Danio rerio: one gene and its partner. The protein of the gene in region 2 binds, or shares a complex with, the protein of the main gene of each other region. Links are inferred from orthologs where the notes say so. Each region holds a gene or a part of one and is shown on either strand. Other genes may lie near its edges. The genes, in order: gid4 and armc8.

Region 1 (3,829 bases), on a different chromosome or scaffold from region 2:
CACAACCGTCTGTAGGCTTTACAGAGAATGCTCCGACAAAGAGGAAACATCCAGTGAGCGGCAGTTCTGTGTGCGCAAATGCCTTGTTGATGAGGCCAGAGGAGAATGGCCAGACTGGCTCCAGCAACAGTAACTCAAATAAGCACTCGTTACAACCGAGCTCTGCAGAAGAGCATCTCTGAACACACAACACGGCCAACCTTGAGGCGGATGGGCTACAGCAGCAGAAGAGCACACCGGGTGCCGCTCCTGTCAGCTAAGAACAGGAAACTGAGGCTACAATTCACACAGACTCACCAAAACTGGACAATAGAAGATTGGAGAAACGTTGCTGCTCTGATGAGTCTCCATTTCTGCTGACACATTCGGATGCTCGGCTCACAATTTGGCCTCAACAACATGAAAGCATGGATCATCCTGCCTTGTATCAGCGGTTCAGGCTGGTGGTGGTGGTGTAATGGTGTGGGGGAGATTTTCTTTGGGTCCATTAGTACCAATTGAGCATCAACGCCACAGCCTACCTGAGTATTGCTGCTGACCATGTCCATCCCTTTATGAGCACAGTGTCTCCATCTTCTGATGGCTACTTCCAGCAGGATAACGCAGCATGTCATGAAGCTCAATCATCTCAGACTGGTGAACATGACGATGAGTTCACTGTACTCAAATGGCCTCCACAGTCACCAGAGCTCAATCCAATAGAGCAGCTTTGGGATGTGGGAGATTGCCATCATGGATGTGCAGCAACTGTGTGATGCTATCATGTCAATATGGAGCAAAATCTCTGAGGAATATCTCCAGTAGCTTGTTGAATCTCTGCCATGAAGGATTAAGGCAGTTTTGAAGGCAAAAGGGGTCCAGCCAAGTACTAGTCAGGTGTACCTAATAAAGTGGCCGGTGAGTGTGTGTGTGTATATATATATATATATAGCAATTACAAGATTTTATTTTGGATGTGGTTAATCTTCTGACAGCACTAGTTATATTATAATAATCCAAATGTCTTTACTGTCACTTTTGATCAACTTACAGTGCCAGTGCTGGAGGAAATAATAATATCTGACCCCCAAACAGCTCTAAATAATAAGCTCCAGCTTACCTTCCACCGCATGAAGACATAATCACTATTCTTAAGTTCCTCATAGTCGAAATCATCTGAATTAAAGCTCTTTGCATACTGATAAAAGGCCTGAAACTTCCCCTGGGAGAGACGAAGAGCACATTCAGCAGATCAGCTTCCACACCACAGTCACGGCACTTGATGATCCATAATTAGACTCAAAGATTATACACATCGTTATTACCCAGTGTTTTCTGTCCACATCCTCGTCTGCGTCCCATTTCCTGGTTAAAAATGGCCGTTTTTTGCTAATGATCTCCCCAGCGAAAAATGTAGTAAGAGTGGGATATTCCTGAAGAGAGAGTAGATTCAGATGTGTGTGTGCTTATAACACTGATATAACATTAATAAGGCAACATTATTAAAGGGCACCTATTATGCACAAATTGCTTTTATAATGGGTCTAAATACTGCAGTGTGTGAGTATCTCCAGCCTCTGATGGTCAACAAATTGAGTTTGTTATAATCAGACTTGATGAAGGAAACACTTCCCTTTGTGTGTGAGGGGAAAGCCCCGCCCACTAGTGCCCATCTCTCCATCTAATTAGCATAAACAGCAGCCCTGAGTGAGAAGTCAAGGCATTAGTAGCTCCGCCCTCTTTTCAAAAGAGCACAAACTCATTTAAATTTAAAGCAACAGTCACCAAAACAGCACTAAAGTCCTTAATGAGGTAGAGATAGGTTAGTGGGCGGGGCTTTCCTCCTCTGATGACACGTACAGAGGGAGAATGTCAATCAAAGTCTGATTAGAACAAACACAATTAATCACTGTTGACCATTAGAGGTTGGAGATACTCACACACTGCTGACACACACTACTGGGGTTAAACCCCGCATAGAAGTGATTGTCTCTTTAAATGAAGAGTGGGTCTCACCTCCGTCAGGCCTTTGATCTTCAGGTATCCGCACAGGTATGAGTCCTCCATGGTCACGTGCTGCAGATCCAGAGCACAGACTATTATTAAACACACTCCGCGAATGTGGGTCAGAGCAAAACACATTCAGCAGATATCTGTCAAAGAGCTAATCTGAGCTCAAATCTGACATCAAATCACCCTACTCCACTACAACAGAGACTCGGGTCCATGATTGATTATTAGTAGGCCTGTCACAGTCATCAATATATCAGACTGTCACACTAAACAGGAGATCAATACATAGTTTCCACATATATATCAATATCTCCAGCATATGTGACCTGATTGGCATTCAGAAATAAGCTGTTGTAAAAGGACGATTTCACATCTACATCAACGATTCTATCTGCAGATTTCCTTTGTGAATATTAGAAAATCTAAATAACCTCAAGAATGAGATGTGTGTGTGTGTGTGTCTCTTGAACGTGCTAATCTGTTACACTGTACAATTATTATATAATCGGTGGATTAAAATGACAATATCATCACTTATCGCAATCATTTCTGAGTCAATAGTAGCGCACAGCCAAAAGTATTTATTGTGAAGGGCTAATGATGGCACCTACAAGGACAAAACACTGCACACATGCACTAAGACAGGGGTTTTCAAAGTGTGAGGCGGGAAAAATATTATATAATAAAAATATAATTACTAAGTTGAATTATTATGTGTATTTTTTATTATTTTTAAACGTTTTTATTTAACCAAGGTAAAAAAAATAATACGTCAAAAATAAGAAAACCTTTTTTACCCAGAAGGCCATAGCTGTGAATTCGCTTCTGTTTGGCAAGCCCGCCAATACAGGTATATGCCTGCTAATCATGCTGCTAAAACAATGAATCGGTTTCTGAGACCCCCCGATTCAAAGCCTTCAAGTTTAGGGCTTAAACCCAAAAGATGACGATATGATGGTCAGTATTTGATTTTGGATTTACGTGGACAGGACCAGCTGATGAACCACGACCTTTATGTGTGGTTTGTCAAGATATTTTGGCTAATGACAGCATGAGACTCGCTAAACTTCGGCGACACCTTGAAACCAAGCATGTTGAGGTAGCAGGAAAACCTCCAGAATTTGTGTGTGTATGTGTGTGCGCGTGTGTGCGTGCGTGTTTGGGAGGAGGGGGGCGGCAATGGATAAGTTGTGTCAAAAGGGAGGCCCACTGTCTTAGGCTGCTTTCACACCTGTGAATGGATTCAGTTGTTCTGAAACAGAGATTACAGTTGTTACAGTGTTGCTCTTTGCTCTTGGAGCGGTTCGCTTTCACACTGCAAAGTTTCTAATCGGACCTAAAGAGCTAAAACAAGTCACGTGCGAGTAAACTCTCCTCACATTGGTCAGAGTGTCAGGGTTTATTTTGCAGCGTCCCGCTCAGCTGTCAGGAGAGGTGGTGGTTTGGTGGTGATTGTCAGGGTGCGCGCGCGACGTGTCTGAGGAGAGATGCGGTGGGGAGGGGTGAGAAGGGTGCGCGACGATGCCTATTTGAGGACCGGGAGGGAGACGCGAGATCACCGGGAGATCATCACTTGTTTGCAGGCATCAGGAGACTCGCGAAACTTCCCGCCCTACTCATAATTCTCTCTTCATATAGCCGTATGCCTATTAAATATCCATAAAACACTGTGATATAACCGCGCTCGGATCGCTTTCTCACTGCAATCGAACCGCTCCAGGGTTCATTTCAATCGAGCCGAGACCACCTCACTCAAGCGATCCCGGAGCGATCCCGGAGCGCGGAACAGAGCGCGATTGCCCTGTTCACATATGCCAATCGAACCGCGCTAACTGGG
Region 2 (3,829 bases):
AAATATGTCCTCCTTTATCAATTAATTAAATGCCAAAGACAAAAAAGATTTAGGTTTATACAAAAACAGGAGAAGAAAATATGTCCTCCTTTATCAATTAATTAAATGCCAAAGACAAAAAAGCATCAAAAATAATATGGCAATCATTTAGCTTGAGGCATCAAAACAATAAAAGTGCATAGTCATTAAAAATATAATAAAATTTAAAATAGAACAATTTAGGGAGACAGTTCATTCTTTTAGACATTTCGAAAAGCATAGGTCATATTTTATATTTTATAATAAAAAAGTTTTTTTTTTTTTATAAATCACGCTGTCACATTTTATTTTATTTTTTATTTTTTTCTGAAATTTTATTTGAACATTATAATAATATTAGGTTTAAACAGTTTCCACTTGCATTTAAAATGCATTCTATGTACAGTTGAAGAAAAACTTAACAGCCCTCTGGTGATATTTTTTATCAAATTTTTCCCAAGTGATATTTAACAAAGCCAAACAAAGGCAGTATGTCCTTTATTACTTTTTCCTTTTAAAGAATATCTTATTTCTTTTAGTTTGATTGAAATAAAAACCCTTACATTTTATTTTTTACAATTTTTTTTTAAGTCAATAGTTTTAGCCCCTTTAAGATTTTTTTTTCAATTGGCTACAGAACAATCCACTGTTGTCCAATTACTTGCCTAATTAAGCTAACTTGATTAATGAACATAATTAACCTAGTTAAGCCTTTAAAATGCACGTTAAGCTTATTATCTTGCAAGAACCCCCATAAGTCTGAATAACTAGTGAGAATATATAGCCAGAAAAATAGTATGTGCAGCCACCATGGAAAAGGCAAAATAAATGAGTTTTAGAAAGCAAATATTAAAACTATTATGTTTAAAATATTTGAAAAAGAGTGCTAATTTCACAGGAGGGCTAATGATATTTATTTCAACTGTTTATGAAATCCCTATTGATTTCCCTTTGACCCATGTACATGTATGCAGTTACCCTTTTAATATCAGTGATGGCGCTGACAGAGCTTGGGTATTTAAAGTAGTCAGCTAACATGGATACAAGATGGTCTGTGACACTGGCAATGCGTTGCAGTTCAATATCTGGCTCCATTAGGTAGGCCAGCGTCTCTGCACCCTCCACTCTCTCCTCCAGTAACCGCTCTTTACTGCACATCCGGACCAGGCATGGCAGAGTCTGTCCAAACAAACACACACACACACCCAACTTGTTTATGTGTGCTGTCAGCTTTTAAATTAGTCACAATATGAATAGGTGTTGTTGCTACCTTCAGTACAATGCAGTTGTCTTCTGTCCTGATGGCTCCTGCTCGACACATGTATGTTAAACTAGGAGGAAGAGTAGGAGTATATAAATTGAAGAGTTCACACAGGTAAATTTACTTTAAATTAGTGGCACAGATAATCTAGTGGCAAATCATTCCTCCTGCTCTTTTTCAAACTTTAATTCTTGTCAATATCTATTCACCTTAGTCTTCACATAAGCGCGAATGCAGCCATTTGAATGTCTTTGGCTTGAGACTTCCGGTCTCATTCACTTCCATTCATTTTTATATGTTAAAAACAGCTTGTTAAGCTTCTTGATGTTGTAAATTTTCTTATTATAATATTCTTCTTGGTCTGTATAGTCATGCAAACACAAGTAGTTTGACTGTTTTCTGACATTATTTTTGTTCTAGTCATTTCTCCAATAGTCAACTAAATTGGAAGTTCTAAAACAATCGCAAAAAACGAGAGCACTTCCACATTGAAGAATGAGGTTAATACTGTTAAATTAAAATACAGGGGAAAATTATAATATAACTATATCATAGGAAAAATAAATAAATAAATATTAACTGCAGGATGAGATTTACTCACCATTTGGCGGCTGTAAGCTGCATTTCGATAGGTTTGTCCCTTTGCATCATTCTAACAAAAACCTGAGAAAGCTGCTCCCCATCTACAAGCACTGAAAACACACACAAGTACATACAGTAAAACAAATATTTATTAAAGGCATGTTTCAGCTTAAAAAATATCATTTAAAATGCATTACATTTAATGATGTGTTTTCTATTTACTTTACTTTAAAATCTAAAATTTTCTCCTTTGAATTTCCAGCAGGCACTGCTTTAGTCTTTATTTGTCCTCCTGAGGTGTTAATATTCTGATTTGATGCTTTGAAACAACAATGCTGCTTTATATTACAAACATTTTATTTAATTATTTCGTAAAAAACTTTTAAAATCTTATTCTTAGATTAGAGTATTTTAACAATCTTAGATTATTTAATAAATAGAATGAATAAACGACTGAATAAATGAATGATTAAAATATTATACTGTCACTTTTGAATCATTTAATGCAGTGGTTCTCAAACTTTTTTCATCAAGTACCACCTCAGAAAAAAATTGTTTCTCCAAGTACCACCAAAATGAGTAGTATTGAATTACAGTAGTGTAGTAGGCCCAGAAAAGCAGCTACAACTCTGCACAGTTATAAGATGTGGCAGATTACCTCAGAAATATAGGCTATATGTCATATATGGCATATTATATACATCATTTTTGATAAATTTTGAAATGTATGTAGCATGTACATGACATATTTCATTTCTCCACGTACCACTAGAAGGAAACCCGCGTACCACTAGTGGTACACGTACCACAGTTTGAGAACCACTGATTTAATGCATCCTTAAATGAAATAATACATATATAAAATAAATAATAATAAAATAAAATTATATATATATATAATTTTGACACAAAAATTTTAAGCGACTTAGACTGAAATTACTTCTTTAGCAACAATGATGCAAAAATCAGCAAAATCAGCAATTACAATGCAATCATATTTACTTGTAAGCATCTACAGAAGTATAGAAACTCTCAATGGAGATTCTGAATGCTATTTTATACTTTCAAAAACCAACTCTACACTCTCATTTCACTGAACAGTGATTCTGATATTAATAAAGATTAAGAAAAAAGATGGACTGCACACAAAAGAGATATTCTTGGCTAACTGTTAGCCAGAGGGACAAAATAATGATGATGGTAGGAGAGAGAGGGTCATGCTCACCATTCACCAGTGTCATGGAGACCTGAGCGTTCTCATAGGCCAAGACTGAGAAACACTTCAACGCCTGCATCCGTACCTGCAGAAAGAGTTGTTCCCACATTATTACTCAGAATACACCAACCATTATTAAAAATACAATAGCTAACAGAAAAAGCCACAAGGTTACATATCGTACCTTATAAGATGGAGAGATAAGCAGAGGAGCGATGTTCTGGATGGCACCGTGGTTGAACAACACTGTCTGATGTTCAGGAGTCTGAAAAAAAAAAAAACATAAAATAAAACCAACAAACGCTAATGGAAAATATATGTAGCATTTTTACAAAAATTATACATTTGTACTTTCCCGTTTCATACTAGTTTTAATATATACAGTAAATAGCGCTAAAATTGGGTTTTCAGGAATAGGTAAACATGGGCACTGGACATGTGCCCAAGTAGAATACTTAGCATTAAGTGCAATGCTGTACAAGCTACAGAGAAAACATTTGTTAGACAAACCATACATAAGCAGATAAATGCAGGATGTTGTGCAAATCATAAAATGTATTAGTCTACAAATGATGCACTACAGTGAGAATATTTGGAGGTTATATATGGCAGTGGTTCCTAAAATGGGGTTGATAAATATATAACTATATAAATATATATATATATATATATATATATATATATATATATATATATATATATATATATATATATATATATATATATATATATATATATATATCGGCTGAATG

Evidence for each region.
Region 1: the proteins of armc8 (region 2) and gid4 are in contact, whole or in part, in a cryo-EM structure (PDB 7NSC), measured with the Homo sapiens proteins. The link is inferred for Danio rerio from reciprocal best matches to the Homo sapiens genes ARMC8 and GID4. Residues at the interface, in NP_001350870.1 of Homo sapiens: Glu309, Pro310, Asp311, Val312, Asn371, Glu373, Arg406, His409, Arg413, Ser414, Val415, Gln416, Arg419, Thr420, Gln423, Asp424, Val444, Ser448, Cys451, Asn452, Leu455, Phe457, Ala483, Val486, Asn487, Trp490, Met493, Asn494, Phe497, Gln498; in NP_076957.3 of Homo sapiens: Leu104, Ile105, Pro106, Pro107, Pro108, Pro109, Ile110, Gln114, Pro115, Gly116, Val117, Ala118, Thr119, Gly125, Gln146, His147, Tyr154, Cys156, Tyr158, Phe174, Glu176, Phe239, Val241, Pro242, His244, His292, Ser293, Ala294, Pro295, Ile296.

The regions. Positions count from the first base shown.
Region 1 is NC_133178.1:67,129,841-67,133,669, reverse strand, and holds part of gid4 (glucose-induced degradation protein 4 homolog), read right to left. Parts: intron 2,056-3,829; coding exon 1,996-2,055; intron 1,413-1,995; coding exon 1,305-1,412; intron 1,202-1,304; coding exon 1,100-1,201; intron 1-1,099.
Region 2 is NC_133184.1:29,559,519-29,563,347, reverse strand, and holds part of armc8 (armadillo repeat-containing protein 8), read right to left. Parts: intron 3,343-3,829; coding exon 3,262-3,342; intron 3,163-3,261; coding exon 3,087-3,162; intron 1,972-3,086; coding exon 1,881-1,971; intron 1,350-1,880; coding exon 1,289-1,349; intron 1,198-1,288; coding exon 997-1,197; intron 1-996. UniProt on the Homo sapiens protein: Component of the CTLH E3 ubiquitin-protein ligase complex that selectively accepts ubiquitin from UBE2H and mediates ubiquitination and subsequent proteasomal degradation of the transcription factor HBP1.